Linked DNA regions of Macaca mulatta. The protein of the gene in region 3 purifies or fractionates together with the protein of the main gene of each other region. This does not show direct contact. Links are inferred from orthologs where the notes say so. Each region holds a gene or a part of one and is shown on either strand. Other genes may lie near its edges. The genes, in order: PPP2CB, CTTNBP2, STK24, PPP2R1B, CTTNBP2NL, SLMAP and SIKE1.

The links.
Region 1: the proteins of STK24 (region 3) and PPP2CB purify together in Homo sapiens (affinity purification with mass spectrometry; 5 studies listed by BioGRID and IntAct, with this or other methods). This does not show direct contact. The link is inferred for Macaca mulatta from reciprocal best matches to the Homo sapiens genes STK24 and PPP2CB.
Region 2: the proteins of STK24 (region 3) and CTTNBP2 purify together in Homo sapiens (affinity purification with mass spectrometry; 3 studies listed by BioGRID and IntAct, with this or other methods). This does not show direct contact. The link is inferred for Macaca mulatta from reciprocal best matches to the Homo sapiens genes STK24 and CTTNBP2.
Region 4: the proteins of STK24 (region 3) and PPP2R1B purify together in Homo sapiens (affinity purification with mass spectrometry; 3 studies listed by BioGRID and IntAct, with this or other methods). This does not show direct contact. The link is inferred for Macaca mulatta from reciprocal best matches to the Homo sapiens genes STK24 and PPP2R1B.
Region 5: the proteins of STK24 (region 3) and CTTNBP2NL purify together in Homo sapiens (affinity purification with mass spectrometry; 3 studies listed by BioGRID and IntAct, with this or other methods). This does not show direct contact. The link is inferred for Macaca mulatta from reciprocal best matches to the Homo sapiens genes STK24 and CTTNBP2NL.
Region 6: the proteins of STK24 (region 3) and SLMAP purify together in Homo sapiens (affinity purification with mass spectrometry; 6 studies listed by BioGRID and IntAct, with this or other methods). This does not show direct contact. The link is inferred for Macaca mulatta from reciprocal best matches to the Homo sapiens genes STK24 and SLMAP.
Region 7: the proteins of STK24 (region 3) and SIKE1 purify together in Homo sapiens (affinity purification with mass spectrometry; 4 studies listed by BioGRID and IntAct, with this or other methods). This does not show direct contact. The link is inferred for Macaca mulatta from reciprocal best matches to the Homo sapiens genes STK24 and SIKE1.

What each region holds. Positions count from the first base shown.
Region 1 is NC_133413.1:32,584,232-32,587,731, forward strand, and holds part of PPP2CB (serine/threonine-protein phosphatase 2A catalytic subunit beta isoform), read right to left. Parts: intron 2,282-3,500; coding exon 2,108-2,281; intron 1-2,107.
Region 2 is NC_133408.1:157,247,919-157,250,162, forward strand, and holds the end of CTTNBP2 (cortactin-binding protein 2), read right to left. Parts: intron 1,636-2,244; coding exon 1,390-1,635; 3' UTR 501-1,389; downstream 1-500. UniProt on the Homo sapiens protein: Regulates the dendritic spine distribution of CTTN/cortactin in hippocampal neurons, and thus controls dendritic spinogenesis and dendritic spine maintenance.
Region 3 is NC_133422.1:93,280,086-93,284,354, forward strand, and holds the start of STK24 (serine/threonine-protein kinase 24), read right to left. Parts: upstream 2,801-4,269; 5' UTR 2,775-2,800; coding exon 2,733-2,774; intron 1-2,732. UniProt on the Homo sapiens protein: Serine/threonine-protein kinase that acts on both serine and threonine residues and promotes apoptosis in response to stress stimuli and caspase activation.
Region 4 is NC_133419.1:112,503,252-112,506,751, forward strand, and holds part of PPP2R1B (serine/threonine-protein phosphatase 2A 65 kDa regulatory subunit A beta isoform), read right to left. Parts: intron 876-3,500; coding exon 643-875; exon of another isoform or gene 598-642; intron 1-597. UniProt on the Homo sapiens protein: The PR65 subunit of protein phosphatase 2A serves as a scaffolding molecule to coordinate the assembly of the catalytic subunit and a variable regulatory B subunit.
Region 5 is NC_133406.1:127,818,946-127,822,445, reverse strand, and holds part of CTTNBP2NL (CTTNBP2 N-terminal-like protein), read left to right. Parts: intron 1-1,523; coding exon 1,524-1,754; intron 1,755-3,500. UniProt on the Homo sapiens protein: Regulates lamellipodial actin dynamics in a CTTN-dependent manner. Associates with core striatin-interacting phosphatase and kinase (STRIPAK) complex to form CTTNBP2NL-STRIPAK complexes.
Region 6 is NC_133407.1:121,296,125-121,300,308, reverse strand, and holds the start of SLMAP (sarcolemmal membrane-associated protein), read right to left. Parts: upstream 2,801-4,184; 5' UTR 2,594-2,800; coding exon 2,396-2,593; intron 1-2,395. UniProt on the Homo sapiens protein: Associates with the striatin-interacting phosphatase and kinase (STRIPAK) core complex, forming the extended (SIKE1:SLMAP)STRIPAK complex.
Region 7 is NC_133406.1:125,479,995-125,482,578, reverse strand, and holds the end of SIKE1 (suppressor of IKBKE 1), read right to left. Parts: intron 1,556-2,584; coding exon 1,454-1,555; 3' UTR 501-1,453; downstream 1-500.

The DNA.
Region 1 (3,500 bases), on a different chromosome or scaffold from region 3:
ATTTTAATAACTGGTATTTTAATATAGTAAGCTTCATTCAACTTTTTAAATTTAGTGCACTAAAGCTGCACCTGTTCTTGTGATACACAAGCTCCTGCACAGTTATAATTACGCCTTATTTCATTCCTAGTGTTTTATGTGCCTTCCCTCTTTTCTTCTAGATCAGTATTGTCCACTATTATTTCTTTTCTAGTAACTTTTCAGAAAGAGAGGAAGGAGGAAGGAAAAAAAAAATAAAAGCTCTACTAACGCACCCATTTAAAAAACCAGATACTTCATTAAAACTGATAAGACTGTCTTTTAAAAATCATTCTGTCCAGCAATTTTATTATTGAGGACTGTGTGCTTCAAAACAATTAAAAACAACTTTAATTAAAATTTAACATCTTTTAAATTCACATTTTCTTTTAACAAGTCCAGGCAAAGTATTGTCCTTTCAAATTAATCATGGCAGTGTCCAAAATCACAGCTGAGAAAAAAAGACTGTCAGGATTACACAGAGAAAGTTATAACCAAATTATATTCCCACAAGCAGTCTAAGAGAGAATTCATCACATTCTTGACAACTCTGGGCTTTTATAATTTAAGAATTATGGAGTTTTATTATATGTTTTATATTTATATTTATTTTATTTTTTGAGATGGAGTCTCACTTTGTCACCCAAGCTGGAGTGCTGTGATACGATCTCGGTTCACTGCCACCTCTGTCTTTCTCAGGTTCAAGTGATTCTCCTGCCTCAGCCTCTCAAGTAGCTGGGACTACAGGCATGCACTACCATCCCTGGCTAATTTTTGTATTTTTAGTAGAGACGGGTTTCACCATTTGGCCAGGCTGGTCTTGAACTCCCAACCTCAGGTGATCTACCCACCTCGGCCTCCCAAAGTGCTGGGATTATAGGTATGAGCCACCTTGCCCAGCCTTTGTTTTATATTTAAATTTAAATCAGTTCATGCTTTCAGTGATTATCTCTAGAAATTGAAATAGGAAATTTGCATAATTTCTTCTTATACTTTTGAATGTTTCATGATCTGTCTGCACTGCAGAAATAGCATTTGCTTCTATTTTCTTTTTTTGTTCTTTGAGATGGAGTTTTGCTGCTGCCCAGGCTGGAGCACAGTACTGTGATCACGGCTCACTGCAGCCTTAACTTCCTGGGCTCAAGAGATCCTCTCACCTCTAGCTTCTTGAGTAGCTAGAACCACAAGCATGCGCCACTATGCCTAGCTAATTTTAAATTTTTTTTTGTAGAGACAGGGTCTCACTACATTGCCCAGGCTGGTCTTGAACCCCTGAACTCAAGCGATCCTCTTGCCTTGGCATCCCAAAGTACTAGCCACTGTGCCCAGCCAAGCATTCACTTCTCAGGGAAGAAGGTGTAATACACAATATAACATTTGCAATTACCATGAAAATAGAAATGCGAAGTTATTCATGGTAACCAGCAAAAACTGTGTGTATACGCAGAGATAGTTTTAAATAACATCTTGCTTTACTAGTACTACACATCAGTGTCTTAAGCATTTATTTATAATGTTTATCGATATCTTAAAAAGCACAGCATATTCTTTGGTCAAAAGATTTACATACATATCTGAGAACAGGAAAATTTGCTGGTCCAAATGTACGTGAAACTTATCCACTTCCCTGCTTTGAAATTTTAAGTATAAGGGAAGGGGCCGGGCGCGGTGGCTCACGCCTGTAATCCCAGCACTTTGGGAGGCCAAGGCGGGCGGATCACAAGGTCAGGAGATCGAGACCACGGTGAAACCCCGTCTCTACTAAAAAAAAAAAAAACAAAAAATTAGCCGGGCGCGGTTGTGGGCGCCTGTAGTCCCAGCTACTCGGGAGGCTGAGGCAGGAGAATGGCGTGAACCCGGGAGGCGGAGCTTGCAGTGAGCCGAGATCGCGCCACTGCACTCCAGCCTGGGCGACAGAGCGAGACTCCGTCTCAAAAAAAAAAAAAAAAAAAAGTATAAGGGAAGGAGGAAAAGGCCAAGGAGATGCAGAAACACAGGTCATATGAATCTAGACCCTAGCTTACCAATAGTCAATCTTTGCCTTCATTTACCTCCCCTCCTCCCAAGATGTGAGCACACACATACATACCTGTCCATCTACTAAAGCTGTAAGTGGAAGATAATCAAAAAGATCTGTAAAATATTTCCAAACGTTGGCATTCCCATACTTTCGCAGACATTCATCATAAAAGCCATATACTTGGGTAATTTGTCGGCTTTCGTGATTTCCTCTCAATATTGTAATGCGTTCTGGATAACGCACCTGGAAGAAATGGAGTAAAACCCATAGTAAAATCCCATTTTTACTAGTGTCATGTGAAGTACATTAGTCTCCGACCCATTGTTAAACACGGCGCTTTTGGCCACCAGTATATTAAATGTTAATTTCATTTTCGAAATAAAAAATCTTGCTTATTCATAACCAGGTATTACTGGTTAACATTTGACATGTTTATTATAATCATCCTTTTTCATCATGTTTTGACCACCCTCATCAGAACCTTTGACTAATACTTATATTACTATAATAGACTTGTATCTGATACTTTGTTTCTATTATCTTTTTCATCATCAAATTATTATTACTTTCCTAAATCTTTCTAGAACACTATGACTTCTTACTGTGAGTAGTGCAAATCACAGGTTTGAAGCTGAGATCAACTACTCTACAGATTAACTTCTTCCCTTTTCCATTTTTATTTCCCACAGGAAGATCGGATTTGCCAATAATAACACAAAAACAGGCCCTTGACAAAACTGGGCAAGAATTCAAATGTATTAATAGTTTCCTTTCTATTACAAAACAAAAACATAAGCGACTATTTAGTTAGCAATGTGTCTGATAAGAAATATGAAAAAGCATTGGATTCTGCAAATTACGCAAAAAGCTGCAAGAATCTACTTCAGTTCATACAGATTTTACTAAGCATCCGTTATGTGTCTAACGTAAGTTTGGTGCTAGAAAGCCAGATGCCAGGTCTACACAAGTACAGTCATGTGCTGGGCAACGTTTTTGTTAACAACAGATTACATGTATGATGTTGGCTGGAGCAAGAGACTATACCACATAGCCTTTGTGTGCAGTAGGCTATACCACCTAGGTTTGTGTAAGTTCCAAAGATGACAAAATCACCTAATGGCACATTTCTCAGAATGTATGCCTGTAGTTAAGTGACCCATGACTGTGTAATATATGGCTTCTGCTGCTGAGGGACTAACCTCAGTAAGGAGATATGTAAAGTAAGTAATACAAGGCAGTAAGCCACTTTTGCAGCATAAATAAGGGCTGGGAGAATAAGTTTCCTCATAGTAATTTAGAGTAGAAGGAATAAGGCTAAAATGGTTGAAGGTTACATGAAAGAAGTGAGACCTGAGCTGAGTCTTGGCAGAAAGGTAAGAAATCAGGGACAGAGTAACCTCGTGGGGGAAATCGAATATGGAAATACACAGAGTCCAGAGCACTGATGAAGAAGAAACTTTGA
Region 2 (2,244 bases), on a different chromosome or scaffold from region 3:
CTAACAAATCAAATTAGATATAATTTAAGCAGGTGTATGTGAGCAGGAAAAAAAACACATTAGAACCACCTGACTGTAGATATGATCTATGATTTTGAGAGCATTCAGTTTTGTTCTCAAGATCAGTGACATAATCTTTACATTGTTATTTTTAAGGTATGTGCCGTTTTGTAATAGCAATACAATGCAGGTATGTATACTTCATTGTAAATAACCATTCTGGCCAAAAAAAGGCTTTCAATGACTTTGGACAAGTAAATGATTCCTGGTACAATCATACTTCTTTGGTATTTATGAAAAAGAAGATGTTTTAACCCCTGAGCACCCAATTCCTGGTGCTCCATTTAAGTATTTAAGATATTTCTAATAGGGTTGAATCTTGTGAATAGCTAGTGAAATACTAACATGGAAGGCAAGTTTTATGAGCATTACTAAATTGAACACAAATTATCTGTTGCATAGACTACAAAGAGCTATAGATAAAAAGTACAGCAAAATGATTTCACTAAATCAATATTTTATTCAGTGTCAAAGCATCTTAACTGAGTTGTATAAGTAATTTTGTCTGTAATTTTAGAAGTAACACTTGTAGAAAATATCAATTTTATTATCAGTTGTGCTACTAGAAATAATATTGAAGGAGTTAATTCTGAATTAATTTATTCATTTATGCAGTTATTTATATCCACTTAGGTACAAAACTTTTGTAAGAAAGATAACACTTTTATTGCATTATAATTTCATATTTTACAGGAGTCATAATGCAAACTCATAAGCATAAATATATACATGATGCTACCAAATGGCAATGTAACTACTAAGAGATTTAAAACATAAAACTAGAATTTAACAAGCAAAATACTTAATATGGCTTTTAATGGAAAATAACTGTTTAGAAATGATTTGTTATTGCCCCATTCTAGTCATTCCCCATCAAGTGAACATAAAATTATGATCTCCATTTAAAATGGTACATGTTATCTAAGCCAAAGTTATACATTTTGTAGCATGTATGTAGTATGATTTGTGGACTTCCTTAAATATACATACATATATACATATATACAGATATACAGTACACAGTTCTGTTTTAATACCCCTGAACATCTTGATTAAAACTATTACAATTTTTTCTATTATAAAACTACTTGAAAAGTTGGCATAACTTCTTGGTATCGAAGTTCAATCCTACAGAATTAAAAAAAAAAAAAAAGCAACAAAATGTTGGTTATAAATACATTCTTTACAAAAAAAATTGAATAGTGGTCCCGCACTCATAACTTATATTACAGTGAAAACATTTTATCCATTTAAAGGTATTTATATCTTGTTGTCCTTGGTTTCTGTGTGAAACAGAGGAAGTTAATAGTGAGAATATTGTAGGCAGGCCTATTTGTTAGGTTTGTCTAGGTGTTCATTTTTGTGTAAGTTCCAATTCTCTTCTTTTGAGTTGTTGTTGATTTCTATTTGCCTTGTATTACTGCTGCTGCTGCTTCTTTTGGTGTTCTGGGAACACAGGGTGACTTTACTTCTAGGAACAGGAAGAAAAGATTTAACTCTTGAAACACCCAACTCAGTCTTTGATTTACTGTTGCTGCATTCAGTAGTTTGATGGCTGCTGAGAGGACTGACCTCCTGTAAGAGACGAGAAACCACACAAGTTTATCACATTTGCCATTGTCACCAACTTCTCCTGTTATGAGCCCTACCCCTGCCTCCTCTTTGAGCAAATGCGCAGGAGTTTCTAAAACTATAGGTTCTCATGAAAAATCAAAAGAAAATGGAGAGGAGAAGCTGAGTAATTAATTTCCTATAGATTTACTGCATGATTTTCATTAGTCCCCGTCTGGTGTTACAAAATTCCTAAATATAGGAGTCAGTGAATCAAGTGCGAAGGCATCGCTCTCCTTACCAGCAGAAACTTCACAAAATTACAGGCATGAGGAAATCACCAAATTGGAGTAGTCCAATTTGTAGGTAGCTCTGCAGACTGTCACCTTGGGTAAGTTACCTAACTTTTCTGCCTTCTACTTTCATGTCCTAAAAGTGACCTATTACTCAATAATCAAATAATCTGGGGGCATAGAGCAGAAAACATAAGAGAAACATCCCTTCCCTAGCAGAGCCTACATTCATCTATGATTAGGTTGCTCAAGATCTTCCATACTTGGAAGCTGCATGTATCTCCTTTCTCTAGTGTTTCAGAACTCCTGTGATTACCTGGTCAATGTCTCTTTTTGCCCA
Region 3 (4,269 bases):
ACGGAAGAATGGTGTTTATACTAACATGGTTGTTATTTTTCAAGCATCCTTGCCTAGGCCACCTAAATTCACTCTGCCTTTTTTTTTTTTTTTTTTTTTGAGATGGTGTCTGGCTCTGTCGCCCAGGCTGAGGTTCAATGGCATGATCTCAGCTCAATGCAACCTCCGGGTTCAAGCGATTCTCCTGCTTCAGCCTCCTGAGCAGCTGGGACTACAGGCCTGTGCCACCACGCCCAGCTAATTTTTTTGATTTTTAGTAGAAACAGGGTTTCACCTTGTTAGCAAGGATGGTCTCAATCTCCTGACCTCATGATCCGCCCGCTCCGGCCTCTCAAAGTGCTGGATTACAGACTCTGCTGTCTTTCTAAGCCAACTCCTTATAAGCCCTGGTCAGGAGACAAGAAAAAGGGGGGGCTATGAGGCCTATCAGGGCAAGCCATAGAAGATATGGACTTCTCTCCTCCCATTTAGCAGACAACAGTTGAAAGCGGGTGTGCTTTTAATTGAATCTTCAGCAACAACTCTTAGGGAAGCCTCCCAGGGCAGCAGCAACTGCTAATTTGAAGTAGAAAATAAATGTGCTTGTTGTTTTTCTTTTGGGGGATGGGGAAGGAGAAAAGAATGTTCTTCCCCAAATGATACACTTTGTTACCATACAGTCTGTAGATGTACTTAGGTACAGGAATGACTGGCAGAAGCCAACTTTCCTACCTCTAAAACTGTAAAACTGTTAACAGCTGAAAATCTGATCATCTTTTCTCCTGAGAAACACTTACCATCTTTCATACTGAGAAAACAAAAACAGTTCCCATGTAACACAATCTAACAGATACGTAACAGTTGAGAGGCAAAGTTATTAAGGAAATGTATCCTCTTTTCCCAAGATTTAAGAACTCTGATCCACTCAAAAAAAAAAAAAAAGGACAAAAATGAAAAGGTGAGATACTAGGTATCACCTGGTAACCATCTGATACTGACTTCACAGCACCAGCCAAAGGGGCTTTAGTACCTTTTCAAACTGATTGGCTATCCACAAAGGCCAATTAACCTAGTAAGTGAGGCATTTGTGCTAGACTCCAACCTGATGCACACGGTATAAATGTCAACCTAAAGGAAATATTGATAAAAGTTTTTTTAAAAATCATTACAAGAGTCCTTCTTGCTCGACTGGTAAGAAATTCGTTTTTTCACCCAGTTCACTCTGACCTACACACCTCTAAATTCATACCAAAGCGGCTTTAGGAAATACCAAGAAACCACATCTGATTGTTACCCAGCAGTCAGCAGAAGTTTAGGTTTTGAATGCATGCTAAATTCAACGCTCCTTAAACGAGAGTCGACAAAAGAATATTCTTCAAGCATCTTCCCAGTCACTCTTAAGATACTGTTACTGCTTAAATATATATATTTATTTACTGCTTAAACATTTATATACACACATATATATACTGCTTATAATACACAGTTGGAGTAAAATTCTAGCTGCCATTAAAGCGGTAACTTTGAGTTCTTATATTTCCAGAATTCAAACGTGAACAGTGAAATCCAGTTTTCTTTTTATGGTTTCAAAAAAAGAAGGGAGAGGGATGATCTCACTGGAAAACGCGGGCAGACTCCAGAGGCAGTCCCAGGTCTGGGCACTGTGCTTCTCAGCCCTCAACACACAGGGAATGAGCCTGTTGGTATCTATAAGTCAACCGGTAATCTACTTGGATGCTTCTGGTTTTCTTCGAACACTTAACGTTCACTCAGCTAGACTGGGAGAGCAAACTTTCCTGACATATCCTAATTGTATCCTAAGATTTCAATCCTAAGCATTTTGCCACCATTTCTGCGCCTACAAACTTTACAAGAGTTAGCCAAGGACGGTGGTTTTGTTTTTCAAAGGGCTAAAAGCAGTCCCCAATGGCAACAAAAACAACAAAAAACCTTTAACTTATACATGTAAATTTGAAATTCAACTCCTCCCCCATCCCTCAAAAAGTCGCTGGTAGGCCAAGATGTCACCAAGTACCGAAGGAGAGGTTTACTGGGCGAAGAACTCCTGTAAATGCAACCAAGTCTCAAAGTGAAAGGCCCGGGACCCTGGTGTGCGGCTGTGCGAGGGATTCCTCCTTCCAAAAGGTCTGCAGCTCGCACTTCCCCCCAGTCCGCAGGTGCAAGGCCACTCCAAGTGGAACTCGCGGTTACACCTTCCTCCACTCCGCCCTGCCTACTCCGCTCGGGCCCGGACGAGTCCAGGCGCGCTCCCCGTCCCCGCCCTGCCCAGGTCTCCCGCCCGCCCGCCCGGGGGTGGGGGACGAGCCTGGGGGGGCGCGTCCTGGGGGCCGCCGCCAACCCGGCCCGCACGCAGGGCCCAGGGACCCGGCGGGGGCCTCCAAGGGCATCCCTCCACCTCACTTCTCCCGGGGAGGAGGCCACCCAGGGCCTGCAGCTCCGGAGGAGTGTTGGGGCGAGGGGAGCGCGTAGGACGAGGCGCCCGCACCCCCACATCCGGACCCAGGCCGCGGTCCCTACGGCTCCTGCAAGCACACGCCGGAGACCTCGGCCGCCAGAGCCGGCAGGGACATCAGGGGCTCCGACTCGGACCCCCGGCCGAGCTGGGCGCGCGGGGAGCCAGGCTCTGGCGCGACCCCGGCCAGCTGGGCGTAGGGGGGCGCCGTGTGGACACCGCCAAGTTGCCGCTTCCGCCCCGGTCGCGCATCCCGGCCCCGCGGCCCGCGCCCGCCTACCTGCATGCCGGGCAGGCCCGACTGCACCGGGGAGTGAGCCATGGCGCTCAGGACGGCTACTTCCTGGCACGGGACGGCCGGGCCGCGGCGATCCGCGCGGGGCGGCGAGGCCCGCGGGCCGCGCGCAACCCTCGGGCGGCGGGGCGGCCGGAGCCCGAGGCCACCCCAGCCCCGGCGGGTCCCGGCCGGGCGGCGGGGGCTCAGCTGCGGGTGGCGGGCCGCGTCTCCATGCACGGCGCGGGGGAGGAGCTGCTGGGGGCGCGGGGCCTCGCGCGAACTGCCGCCGCCGCCGCTGCTGCTGGGCTGGAGCCGGGCGGCCTGGGCCCGCGCGCGCTGGCCGCTGGAGCGGGAGTGGGCGCGCACAGCCCGCCGAGCCCGCGAGCGCCAAGCGCGTCCCGTCCCGGCCCGGCCCCCGCGCCCGCCCCCGCGGCCCGGCCGGGGACCCCGCCCCGCGCTTCCGGGAGGGGGAGGGGAGAGGCCGGTGGCCGCGCGCGAGCCCTAGGCCGCAGCCGCCGCCGCCGCCTGCCGGCCCGGCCCGGGTCCCAGCTGCTCCCGCGGCGCTCCCACGCCCCCGCGGGCGGGCGGGCGGCTGGGCCGGGAGGGGGCCTCGGCTGGGGCGGGCGCTGGGAGGGACCGAGTCGGGGCCGGAGGCTGGCCGTGCGCCCACCGGGCCGGCGCCGGGGAGAGCTGGGCCGTGGCCCCCTCTTCACGCCAGCCAGCCCACTCCGCCCCGGCGATCCATGGGGAAACGGGCTCCGGGCGAGCCCCAGAGGGCAGGGTCAGGGTCCAGGGGCACCTGGGGAGGGAGAGCGCCCCGCGGGGCCTCGGCCGGTGGCCTGTGCCAAAAGGCCGGGCAGAGCTGCTTCGGTGTCTGGGTGAAGTTTCCAGCCAACCCAAGAAGGAAACCGAAAGGGGAGAGGCCGAGAGAGAGGTTGATTCCTAGCGCTTTGGTTACCGAAAACAGCCCCGCTGGGGCTGCTGGGCTGGGAACTTAGCTAAGCAGTGAGGAGGCTGAACCCCACCATCTCTGGAGTCCGCAGCAAGTCAGGAGCACCCACCCACGAAAAGGGGAAAATGGAGTGCAGAGGGCAGGGAGGAAGGGAAGAGAATGGAAGGAAAGCGCATCTGGACTTTGAACTGCAGCCCTCTCCGTCTCTTTCCTTTTCCTGGGAAGCTCCAGGCCCACTCAGCACCAGTTCTGTCTCCTCTTTTCAGCTGCCTTCTCTCTAGCTACTGAGGGGAAAAGTCAGGATGGAGCGGGTCCCTCGGCCTCCAGGAAGTGTTTTATTACAGTCGCAAACAGTAGAGCGGCAGCCACCCCAGTGATGACTCCCTGCCCCTTAGATTATAGGGACGCTGGTACCTCATTCATGCTCCTAAGTGGCCATTTTGCACCCTGGCTGGGCGAGTTAGGCAGACAAAATGAGCCCCCAAAAGTTTAAAGGCCTCCACCAAAGTAAGGAGTATTTCTTTTCCGAGGTGTCATTGTATTCCATCCACGAACATCAGTTTCGCAGGATGCCCTGGATCTGACACA
Region 4 (3,500 bases), on a different chromosome or scaffold from region 3:
CGTGATCCGCCCGACTCGGCCTCCCAAAGTGCTGGGATTACAGGCTTGAGCCACCGCGCCCGGCCCAAAAAATATTTTTTTTTGTTGTGGGGAGCTCAACTGAACCTCCCACCTCAGCCTTCTGAGTAGCAGGAATACAGGCGGGTCCCACCATGCCCAGCTAATTTCTTTTTTCTTTTTAGTCGAGACAAGGTCTCACTATGTTGCTCAAGCTAGTCTTGAACTCCTGAGCTCAGGCAATCCTCCCACCTCATCCTCTCAAAGTGCTGGGATTACAAGCATCAGCCACTGCACCCAGCCAGAAAAAATTTTTAAAAATTAGCCAGACGCAGTGGTGTATGTCGGCAGTCCTAGCTACCTGGAGGCTGAGGCTGGAGGATCACTTAAGCACAAGAGTTCAAGGTTGCAGTGAGCTATGATTGTGCCACCGCACTCCAGCCTGCGCAACAGAGCAAGACCTTCTCTCTTAAAAAAAAAAAAAAAAAAAAAAGATGTCATAAAACCTACTATCCTAGTATCAGCCACTCATTGGTTACAATGTACTATGTAAACTGTCAGCTACAAGTCCCCAGTAATCCCAAATAACTAATAGCTTACTGTCTGATTTCTGCTTTAACAAAGCAAAAAAACACCAGAGCTTACTGTCTGATTTCTGCTTTAACAGCATTTGATGCCCTGGGATAGCAAACGCTGAACAAACCACATGCAGACGTGCGAGAGGTGAACCAATCCCCACTTGCTAGGCGTTTCACCAGAGGTACAAAATAAGCTTCCAGAGCAACAGGAGTATGCTCCTGGGAGATCTGTCTCAGGGACTCCACAGCCTTGTCACGAACAACAGTCTCTTCCACAGTTGCCAGATTTTCCAAAGGAGGCTGAATGGATTAAAAAGGAAAACCAGAGAAGAAAACTTATTGAATCAGATTAGAAACAGATAATCACCTTTTAAAGTGACTGAAGGGAGGTGGTACACGTAACCAGAATGTTAGCTGCATCATACCAAATGGTTACTTTCAGCTCACACAGTGATAACATATGGTGCGGCCAACCTGAAGACACGACTCCTGTAGAAAAGCCAAGATCTCGTGTCCCAGATGGCAATTCCCAGATGGTGTCTACAAATGACACAGTGTAAGAGACTTGACACAATATTAATATTACTGTGAGCTGAATCACTAGGTTTAAAAGATACAGAGCCAAATTCAGACAGGATCCTGTATATTTCCTCAAGAGTAAGTACAAAAATATGACCAACATTAGGCACCACAAATACAGGATAACAGCTTGTCACGTCACTGAGTCCACCGCCTTTTCAGTATCATTCTACCACTCCCAGAGGTGAAAGCAACGCTTATCCACCATCTCCATTCCATCCTTTTATCCAACCTACAAAATGCTGAGTACAAAATTGCTTTTTTCAGAACACATTCAGCAACTTTCCATTAGCCATAGGGCAGGAAGGAGTTTCTGACAGAACAATCAAGTGAAAACTACAGAGACTGGCCGGGTAAGGTGGCTCACGCTTGTAATCCCAGGCTTCGGGAGGCGGAGGTGGGCAGATCACTGAGGTCAGGAGTTCGAGACCAGCCTGGCCAACATGGTGGAACCCTGTCTCTACCAAAAAATACAAAAATTACCCAGACATGGTGGCACATGCCTGTAATCCCAGCTACTCAGGAGGCTGAGGCATGAGAATCGCTTGAACCCGGGAGGCGGAGGTTGCAGTGAGCTGAGATTGTGCCACTGCACTTGAGCCTGGGTGACAGAGTGAGACTCTGGTCTCAAAAAAAAGAAAAGAAAAGAAAAGAAAAGTACAGAGATGGTAGGACACCTTGCTTACAGCTTTAGAAATAGAAGAGGCCAAACAGGGTGGATGATCCGGATTAAGAGCAGTAACTGAATATGGCATGGCCTAGTAAAAAGTGTAAACAGGCTGGCTCTCTGAACCTCTGCCTTACTGAGTTTGCATGTAGTCCAGGTAGATTCTACACATGCCATGAGCTACAGATTTTTAAAGCATAAAACCCACATATAGAACTAACCAAGAATGAAACAGAAGCATAATGAGTTAAAAAAAGAAGTGTGTCTAATAATATATTTTTAAAATTGTTTGATACACACAGGTACACAGTATTCAGCTTTCCTAGAAGGTATTTCAGAAGCCCATTAAAAAGATACTGTTTCTCACTTGCCAAGGCATTTCATGATCTGTCCCCTGCCTACTGTAACCCCCTCTCCTGCAGTAACACTGGATAATAGCTATCATTACTACAGGATGAGGCCATGCTCCTGAGAATTGCTTAAGAGTGGTCTCTTGATTTGAACTCTGCCTGGCCCTTGATGACCACTCTGCCTACCCAACCTCAACACTTCACATTCCAGCAGTTCTTTTTTTTTTTTAAGAGACAGGGTCTTGCTCTGTTGCCCAGGCTAAGTGCAGTGGCACAATCATGGTTCAGTGCGGCCTCAGACTCTTTGTCCTTCTGCCTCAGCCTCCCAAGTAGCTAGGACTACAGACACATGCCACCATGCCCAGCTATTTTTTTTTTAAGAGTTGGGGTCTCACTATGTTGCCCAGGCTGGTCTTGAACTCCTGGCCTCAAGCGATCCTCCTGCTGCTTTGGCCTCCCAAGGCAAGGATTACAGGTGTGAGCCACCACACCCAGCCACACTCCAGCAGTTTTGAACCCAGTCTGTTTCATGCTTCCAAGCCTCTGAAATTCATTTTCTCAATACATGATTATTGTTGTATCTAGCATTGCGGACACAGAAGAAACAAAGCAGACAAGCTTCCTCACTCTAGTGGCATTTACATTCTAATGGAGTAAGACAACAATCAATCAAGAAAACAAGTAAGCGGTGATGAATACTCTATAGAAAAAAGGAGTAGGATGATGTGTTAAGGGATGACTGCGAGGCTATTACAAGTTGAGTGGTTGGGGAAAACCTCCCTGAGGAGATGCATTGAAGAAGATCCGTGAATGACAAGGAGCCAGGCACAGAAAGCTTGAAAGAGCTTTTCATTAGAGGGAAGACCTAGGGCAAAGGTCTTAAGGGAATAATAAGCTAGGTTAGTTCAAAGAACAGAAAGATGACCAATGTGAATGTAAGAGATTATCAAGGCCTTTTGCGCTCTGTCCCTGCCTACTGTGACCTCTTCTCATGCAGTACCACTGGGCATATGATAATCCTACAGAGGCAGGTCATAAAAAGCCTTATAAGCTAAGGTACAGAATTTGGATTTTCTAAGAGCTATGGCAGAGAGTGAGCCATCTGCTGGGTGACGTGAACTGTAAGGGTCGGGTGAGAGACAAGAGTGGAAAGCATTGTTAGGAAGCTACTACAGCAATCTAGAGGAAAGATGATGGTCTGGACTAGGCTGGTAATAAGAGGGATGGAAGAAAGTGGACTGATTTGAAATATACGTAGACTCTATAGGAATTACTAATGGATTAGATGTGGGGAACAAGGGAAAGAGAATTCAAGAATATATTCTAGGT
Region 5 (3,500 bases), on a different chromosome or scaffold from region 3:
TCATGTTTCCAGTATACAAATACCATCCAAATACTCCAGTAATGTCATAAAGTAAGATGGCTGTAGTCGAGCCAGAAGTAAAACCCCGAACTTCTAACTGCTTTGAATATTTGCCAGCTAATAACAACATAAAATTTTACCATAAGGCTAAGTGATTCCTGGGGCCTAAATTGAACAGTCAATGAAGAAGTCTTCAGATTTTCAGCACTGAAATACTTCTGTGTTAAAGAAACCCCATGTTTGCATTATTTTCTTAAAGATTCTTTTAAATTAAAGCATAGCCATTGAATTGCAACCTTCCGTTTCTTTTTAAACAGGCTCCTATTTGTGGATGGCGGTGCTAACATAACTACTGATTAAACAGTTTTTAAAAATGGATAAATAATAGTAGTTTTCATGAATAGATTTAATTTGAAAGCTTAAATTACATAGTACTTTGCTGTAATTTTTTAGTTTCTTCAACCCTGTTAACACTTCATTTTTCATTGCAAAATATCTCAAGAAACTTTTAAATATCTGTGTAATAAGTAAAAAGTAATGTGCGTGTAATATGTGATGCTCATATGAAGTTCTTCAAGGTCTTGCTACAGAGATAAGGAAAGAGGGAAGGAAGCCTAGGAATATCTTTCCACCCACCTCCTGATCCTTATACTTCCAACTGGGTACCCAGGGCTAAAGCCCTTGACCAGACTCCAAGCACCACCTTGCATCCCCTTCTTACATGCACATCCCCAAGGCTCATCAAGCCTTGAAAGAGACAGAAAAGAGAATGGAAAGTAACAACCAAACAGAGACAAGAAGAGGGGGTGGAATTTGGCAGCAGGTGGAAGAGATTTTGTGTGCATTTCTGGTTGTGAGGTGCCTCCATCCTCCTTGACCCATCAACAACTGAGTAATGGTTCATATGTACAGATCACAAGTCATCCTAGATTGTCATGTGATCCTACTTATATTTTGCACACTTTATATATCTGCTGGCATTTTGTTAGGTCTCTAAATATATAAACTCATAAAATTGTCGTGCTTAACATATTTTAGGAATGCTAGTGCCATAACATGGGAAAAAAATAACATGTATCTGCTGGTAATATAAGCATTCATAAGCAGATACAAGCAGAGGCAGTAAGCACAGAGGTTAAGGACACAGATTTTGGAGCCGGGCTGCCTGGGTTTAAATGCCAATTCAGACAACTTGCTAGATGAGTAACCAGGAATAGTTTTCTCATCAGCAAAATCGAGATGATAGCACTACCTTACAGGGTTGTACATTTTAAATGAGTTAATATGACTATAAATATTTAGAACAATATCTAATACCCAGTGCTTTATAAGTATTTGTTCTTGTTAATATACCATGCCACCTTTCTAATGCTGTTTCTTTAGATGGCTCAATCTGACTTGTAATTAGCAGGTTACATTTATACTAATACCACAACCTTTAATGTATAACCACTGGATAGCAAATACCCCCTTCTCAGTAGTTTTAAAAAACAAGATGCTTATTTTTTTTTCCTCTTTCCCAGGCCCAACACAGAGATACTTTCATTGAAGAACGCTATGGAAAATATAACATCAGTGATCCTTTAATGGCTCTACAGAGAGATTTTGAAACACTGAAGGAGAAAAATGATGGCGAAAAGCAGCCAGTCTGCACAAACCCACTCTCTATTCTTAAGGTGGTGATGAAGCAGTGCAAGAACATGCAGGAGCGCATGCTGTCCCAGCTGGCTGCCGCTGAGAGCAGGCACCGAAAGGTAGGTTCCCCTCAGTTGATGTGTAAATCTTTGTGAAGTCTTGATAAATTATGCCTGATACTTTCTTGTCAGCTGCCAGTTTTTCACAGTAATTCAATTGGGCATCTCGCGGGTATCAAAAAACCGCTTAGTTTATGTAAGAGTCAGGAGATAGAAAAGAAAACACAGCTTATTCCAAGTGTTAAGTTTAGAGAATGTGCCAGACACATTATTTAAGACGGCATTCCTTCTTGATATATCACTCCAAAACACTTTGTATGTTTTTTCAGTTCTTGATCATTCAAACTTTGGGGTTTGGCCAAGCTTGTAGCTGAAGGGAGTGTTCTCTATTTGCTTACTTAAGAGATAAATAAAAAGATTAACAGGTATTTGAGGCATGCTATATCCAAGGGAGAGAAAGAATTTACCTGAGGATAAACACAGAAGCCAATAGATTATTTTCATTTATTCCTGTTATTCCTAGTTTTGAGTTTCATTGCATTTTGTTGCTCATGAAACCATAAATAGTCCCTAGGTTTATTTACCTTAAAGGTGTTCTACTCTATTAGTGAAGTGTTGTGTGTGTGTTTCCATATTTAACGAGCCCTAAATTAGGAAGACAAACCTTACAGTTATTTACCTTATTTACCTTAAAGCTGTTCTACCCTATTAGAAAAGAGTGTGTGTGTTTCCATATTTAACAAGCCCTACATTAGGAAGACAAACCTTACAGTTATTTACATTACTTACCTTAAAGCTGTTCTACCCTATCAGTAAAGAGTGTGTGTGTGTGTTTCCATTTCTAACAAGCCCTAAGAAGGCAAACCAGTGCTTTCCTCTGCTTCATCTTACTGGAATTCTAGTGCTTGTGAATTTATTCACCAACTTGTCATCTTGTCATTTACTGCTCAAATTTGGCCTGTAAAAGATGCTTGGCTACAATCTTCATTTTTAAAACACTATCAGTTTAGATTTATGCCAACAAGGCAGTTATCAGTGCATTTGGTAGGAAACATTTTCATCTGAAAAACTGGGTTAGCAGCTGCAAAATTTGGTGGACCTTACTTTTCTGGTTACCAGTATTAGAGCCATCTGCTTAAATTGCATCTGATAAATTTTCTAGGCTCTGGGTCTCGCACGTGATCTTTTCTTTCCCTTCACAGACGCCAAATGAAAGGCCAGAGTGGAACTTCTTAACCATGTGGATAGGCCTCAGATGTTCCACAATCCCCCAGAAAATAGAATGTTCAGAGTTTATGTATTTTTGTAGGAAATGTATTTTTTCCATAGCTTTAATTAGATTCTCCAAGTTACCAGTTACCCAAGACCCAAAAAAGTTTTAACCTCTGATTAGAATGAAGTAATCTGAAAACATTTACACTCCAATTTAAAAGGTTATCAATGGGTGGGAGTTAGTTGCCTAAATTTGGGGCGGGGGGCGGCTTTTACATAATCCTCTAAAAAATCTTCACAACATTCTTGTTTAATAGGCAGGCTTTATTTCCACTTCATCCATGAGGTGACTGAGTTGTGTTGAAGCTAGTTGGGCTAGCTTTCATGCCCATGGAAGGTGTACTATGGACAGTTTGTGGCTCTAGGTGATTGGAGAGAGGAAGAAGTTAAAAATAATTCAAAATTTCTTAATACTATATTGCAGTGCTAAATGTTTTAAGTACTAAATTTTTGAAACGAAGTACCAACGTTTTTTTTTTCTTTTTTTGAGATGAAGTCTTACTCTGTCACCTAGGCTGGAATGCAGTGGTGCAG
Region 6 (4,184 bases), on a different chromosome or scaffold from region 3:
CCATATCTACCCTTCAAAGATAAGTTTTTCTGAAGAACAAATTTCATGGCCAGGCACGTTGGCCGCACTTTGGGAGGCCGAGGAGGGTGGATCACTTGAGGTCAGGCATTCAAGACCACCCTGGCCAACGTGGTGAAACCCAGTATCTACTAAGAATACAAAAATTAGCCGGGCATGATGGTACGTGCCTGTAATTCCAGCTACCCAGGAGGCTAAGACACGAGAATTGCTTGAACCCAGGAGGCAGAGGTTGCAGTGAACTGAGGTTGCGCCACTGCACTCTAGCCTGAGTAACAGAGTAGGACTTCATCTCAAAAAAAAAAAAAGAACAAATATTAACATGTCATCTCAATTCATGAAACAGTCACTATTGATCTATTCTTAGTTATCTCAAAATAACCTATTGTGAGAGTTTTATTACGGCCATGGAAAGCACTGTGCATGAAATCAGTATTTTTCAAATAAGTAAAACAAAAAATGAGAGTTCCCTTTGAGTGTTTAATCAAAGTGCGTTTGCAGAGTATGTACCGTGAGCAAACCTGTTGTCTAATTAGTTTAGACCTGTTGCCCAAGAACATAAAATGGCAAAAATGTAAAAGCTGGTTGAGTTAAGGCACTACTTAGTAGTAAACTGATATTTAAATTGAACTGCTGGAAAAATGAGCTCTATGAATATTCATTTTAAAGAATTATGAGGGCCAGGTGCGGTGGCTCACGCCTGTAATCCCAGCACTTTGGGAGGCTGAGGCAGGCGAATCAACTGAGGTCAGGAGTTCGAGACCGCCTGGCCAACACGGTGAAACCCTGTCTCTATTAAAAATACAAAAGTAGCCGGGCGTGGTGGCATGTACCTGTAATCCCAGTTACTTGGGAGGCTGAGGCAGGAGAATCACTTGAACCTGGGAGGCAGAGGTTGCAGTGAGCTGAGATAGCACCACTGCACTCCAGCCTGGGTGACAAGAGCAAAAATCTGTCTCAAAAAAAATTAGGCACCCTACGTTCAGCTTGGGGGTAGGGAGGAAGGGTCTGCTCCACAGGTAAATGACGATCTGGTGTTATACAGAAAAGTTAACATATTCTTCAGTTCTCATCCTACACTCCTACACGTAGAATAAAGTATAGATATTATGCAGCACACAGCACTTGGACAATCTTTTCCTCCTTTCTTCAAAAAATAATTTACAAAATAATTCCTTAAATCAGTAGCTGCCGAAGTATCATTTTTTTCTCTTCCTTTTAAGGCTCAGGTTTCTTTCATTTCAAAACATATTCTTGAAGACTTAAGTTCTTCCTTTAAGAAAGATTTAATTATTTAACTCAGAAAGAAGGGGCAAAAAGTCAGGAGGTGAAACCTGAGACAGTCCTATTAGTCTTACATAACTTAAAGTTGGAACTGATTCAGTAGCTCAGCTAAAAACCTGAGGTTTAGGCACAAAGATGAGCTCTTTAGTATACTATCCATAAACATAAATAAACAGTTTTTAAAAATGGAAAGGATCTTAATTTCTTTCATTTCTTAAAAGCACATACGTGTATAGTAACTTACGATACTAACATAAAAATACTAAATTGATTACGCTTAAAATGAAAAGCACTGAATTCATCCCATCACATTTAAGTAATGCTATAATTGACAGAATAGGGTATAATTTCAGAAAATAAGTTTATTTCCTAACACTAACTTTTGAATAGCACCTCTGTAAGAATGCACTAAGTACTTAATAAGTGCTGCAGGGAACATCAAAAAGTGATTTTCAAACGCAGTATGTGTATGTTCTCCAACTTGTAAAAAACACTCTGAAAATATATAAAGTTACAATTGTTCATGCTTAATTAAATTAGCTTTGATTATTGCAAATTATTCCTTCAAGAGCAAGTATGTATCAAACCTTTCAAAAATCTTAGGTTTATACCAGCAATTGTCCTTACTAGAAAGGTCCTGATCTGAACTCACCTAAAGCTATGTGTTAACTACATTTCACTACTAAGACACTTGAGCCCTGGGATAATAATGGCCACAGATTCCCCGAATTGCTCTGACAACTCCTGCTTGCTTAATAAAGCGCTGAACTGTGAATTCACCTTTCCAAGCAGACTGAAAGCAAGACGCCAAGTTTCACTATCTAGTTTGGTATTTCACTGGGAATGACCCCGTTATCAAGATGCCATAGACTTCCTGAGGCTTTTAATTACAATACCTTCTCTGTTTTCCATTCAACCACCTCAATCAAATTTCCACTAGAACCAGGCACCCAAACAGTTGTTTCGTGGCTTTGCGCAAAGCCTCTTCTGGATGCAAACCCTGGGATCCTGCATACATTAGGCCTCTCAGAAAGGGCAAAGCGGGGGAAACAAGTTTGTTAAACAATGCCGCTGGACAACGTGGTGACATTACCTTGCCCGTCTTGTGATCAAACCAGACGAGAGCGTGGTTCCTTGACAGCACTTTGCAATCAAAAGTGGCATTATTCTGCGCTGGTCGACAGCGGGCCACTGAGCGGCCGATTTTGATGGGCTCGTCCAGGTAGACATGACGCTCCTGAAACGGGTGCGAGTTCGGGCGGCAAGTGAAGATGGCCAAGGCTGACGGCATCGAGGATAGACTGGGGGTGTCTCTCCTACCAGGAACAAAGAGGAGTTCCTCTGGATCCGGACTGCCCTTCACAAGCCTATCCCCCTATCCCACCCAAAATTTTAAATTAACACAAACTGCACATTGTCTAAGCATAACCAGTGAACATCAACTCTTCACTTGGGTGGGAAGACAAGCCAGCGCAAGCCCCATCACCTCCTCTAAAACCCAGCAGCGCCCTGATCACAAAAAGTCCCCAACTGGCAGCTTTCAGTCCATCTTCTTCTCTGGGAAGAAAAGGCTCAAACATCGGGCAGCTTCCGCCAAGAAAACTCCTGGAACACAGTTTGGGGACTGGAGGTATCCAAGCAGATGAGTCACACGCCAATTCTTGTGTTTGGTTTGAGATCGCGGCCGCTTTTCCCCCTCGGTGGCGGAAACGTTGCAGCACTGCAGCATGAAGGAAGGGTCGGTTCGGCGCGGCCAGGAAAGTCCTTTTGGGCCGAAGGAAGGTGTGGCCGGGCACCTCTGGGCAGTCACCGCCCGTCCTTGCCCGCAGTGTAGAGGCTCTAGACGGCCGGCGGGACAGTCTGCATCGCCCCTGCTGCGCGGAGGCCGCCCCGGGAAGGGGGACGCGGTCCCCGGCCTGGCACGATCCGAGGCGGCGGTGGCTGAGGTCCTCCGCGCGAGGCGTGGAGGCCGGCAGGGCGCGGGCAGTAGCCGAGTCGGGACTCCCGGGCACCTGGTGAGCGTCCCCGCGACCAGGGCGGGGACCCGGCTCCGCAGGCCGGTGCTGACCGAGCGAGGCGCGACACCGGGAGGCGCGGGTTCCCAGGCGGCAGGAAGTTGGTCCCCGGACGCCTGGGCTCCTGTCCGCCGCTCAGCACATGGGCCGCCTCCCCTCAGGGTCGCCCCCGCGAGGGTCGCATCTCAGGGACGGCAGCCGCAGCTCCCGGCGGACGAGAAGGTGGGGGAGGGAGACTGGCCCGGAGGTTGGGGAGAGGCCTGGAGGCCCCGGGCTGGGTCCGCCGCAGCCTCCACCGATCGCGGCCGATGGGGCAAGCTCAAGCTGCGCCCGACGAGGCAGGAAACTTTCCGACCTGGTGGGGAAAATATCAAAACAAACGGCCGTCAGGCGCCTCAGCCCGCCAGCCTCAGCCCTCGGCTCCTCCAGCCAGACCCCCGCCAGCCCCCACCGCTAGGCACTACCTCCGCCGACCTCTCCGCAAGGAGGCTGCGAAGATTTGGAGCCAGGACGCCACGACGGGTGCTACCTCCTTAGCCGCCACCGCCGCCTCAGCTTACCTTGCCAGCGCCGGCCGCCATAGTGACTCTGACTGAAACCTACCCGGTGCACCGCCACGGGAACGCGCACCCTTCAAGGGCCCTCCTACCCCCTCTCCCGCGCCGTAGTCCAGGAATGTCACGTGAACGAAGCCACGGAAGCCGTGTTGGTAGAGGGCAGAAAAAAGGGCAAGCTAATTTTTAACAGGCCTCCAGGCGCCATCTTAGTTAAGGGCTGGAAGCTTCAAACCTCGGGACAACCTTAACGACCATTTTGGTTAAGGGAAAGAACAATTTGCGCGGTAGAAGGTTTTCTAAACAAACAGTA
Region 7 (2,584 bases), on a different chromosome or scaffold from region 3:
TACCTATTCATTAACACCCACTGCTCTAGATGACATCCATTAGTTATTACTGGGATCAGATGCTTTTAGGACATCTTTGAAAGATTTTGTTTTAACTGTAGTTCTTTATAGCATTACAAAAGAAATATATCACATAAAGCACTAACAACTCTTTTTAATACTGTGTCTCTCCCATGCAGTATGGTGCTTAATGTTACTGGAAACTATTGACAGGTTTAGCATTATTTCAATTAATTCTGGGCAAATCTAAATAGAATAGTATAACACGAAGAATTTATAAATTTGAAATGTGAGTAAACTGAGATGGGAATGAGTTGATGAGTGAACCCAGCTGACCACTGAGCATTTGAATCTCAATGTTGCCTACACAGCATTATGAGTGTAATAATTTTCATTAGGTAACAAAACTGCTTCCTCACCTTTTTATATAGCTTAAAAAAAACAGAAAAAAGACAAAAAAAACCAAAAAAAACCAAAAAACACAACTGCTTCTATGTAAAAAAAAAAAAAAAAAAAAAAAAGCAAGCCAACTACCTATTAGTGCTAGGACTGAAAGACATCCAATCCAAGTAAGTGATGGTTCTTGATTATAAAATGGAAATTGTATAAAAATTAAAATAGAATATAGAACTAATACGATAACATTGAAAAACTGACTACTTATATTTGGTTTTTTGATTTTTTGTGTTTTTTTGGCTGATTATATTTAATAAAAGCTACTTTTAGTATTTGAACTAAGTGCACGTGTGCATGCGCATACACAGGACAAGCTCCTCAGCTTTGAACAGTATGAACTTTGAACAATACGACAACTATAGTATCACTGGGGAAAAAAATAGCTGACTTATTTCCAAGTACGTTTCCTGGGACTAGCAGTAGGTTCTCTCAAATTAAAAGTAAAGGCACCAGGCTATAAAGTGCCAATTCTTAGCACCAGAGAGACTTAAAACTTCACAGGTGAATGACATTACAAATCAGAGAATCTGCTGACCTAGTTCTGTGGAATTGTATTATTTTGTCAAATGGAAAAAAAAAAAATCAGGGTTTATGCCAAATAGATTTAAAAAGTTAAATCTTTCCTAAAATTTCCTAGAAGTGTATTTTACAATGCTATATAAAATAAAATTGCTGGCTTATAAAAAAATGCTCAAAGTTTCAAAGATGTGAAAAATAACAATGAACTGAAACATAGTTTATATAAATCAAAGTCCCAGAAATGAAAATTAAAAGTAGTCTCTTTGAGAAAGGAATGGTGAAATTCAGCATGTATTCATATTAACACATCTGAGAACCGTGGACAGCCATTATTGACTGGAATTCTAAATTGCCACCTGATACCTTTAATTAAGATTAAATCAAATCTGAGGCAAGACACTTAATGGACAGTACTTGAATGGGAAGATAGTAACTTCCTTCCTTGATAGACAATCTCCAGCCATCATTCAGAGTTCAGTTATTTGATGGCTTGGGAAGCAGTGTCCATTGAGTTTTCCTTTCTGGCTTGAAGAGACTCACTGCTAATGGACAATAATTCTCGAAGTTCCTTATTTTCAAGCTGGAAAAAAAAAAGGCATGTTTATTTCTGGTATATTTACTGTCAAGCTGCATTACAACAACACATTATTTTGAGCCAGGAGCAGAAAACATTATTTTTAATTTAAAAAATTTTAAGGAAACAAAAAACCCACTAGTTGAGAATTTCCTTAAATACTACTTATTTATTCATTTAACAAACATTTACATGTAGGATGTAGGCAATGATACTCTTTTGTAGTAGTAATTTACTGAGTAATTTCTATATACCAAGTGTTACAATTACAAAGGAGAAACAAAAAACAGGGTCCCTCTCCATTTGAGGAATTCACTATGTTTTATTCTTCATGGTTCCCACAGTTTTACTATTATTTCTTTTATTTAAAAAATTCCTAATAATCGTTTCACTCTGATTAATCTCCTCTCCTGGATATCTTATAGTTCCAGAGAAATGGAAGGAAAGGGGGAAAGAAATTACTTATTGAGCATGTAGCTGGGTACTACTTGGGTGCCCTGTATATGCTATCTCACAATAATCTGTAGGGTAGGTATCATTGCCTACATCCATATATTTCATGAGGATGCTCTGGCTCACAAAATTCCTAAAAGTTGTCCAAATTCAGACAACTTGGATGTGGTATTACTGGGGTCTGAATCTAGTGGTCATGTTTTTTCTACTTGAAGTATTAAGGTAGAATTTGTCCCACATTTCCTTAGGGCTGTTTCCATAAGTGAGGTAAATCGAGGATAAATAGAAGGTCATGCTATCATTTCACTAGCTCCTAATTCCTCCTTGGGACCTGTCACTACCTTTGATTTCTAGAGAGAGTAGCTTCCGCTCTTCATCCTTATTCTCTGCAGAAAATTCTGGTAAACCAAAGCATTTTTAGCTTCACCAAGATGTGCGGAAGTCCCAGCTAGAGTAACTAAGAGATTAGAGCCTGTGGTCGATGAATCTTCAGTATTTGTATCTGTCTCCTAGCATTTACATACTATTTAATATCATATGATACTAGGATTATCCCTTCCACTAGACTCTGGGCAGGTACCT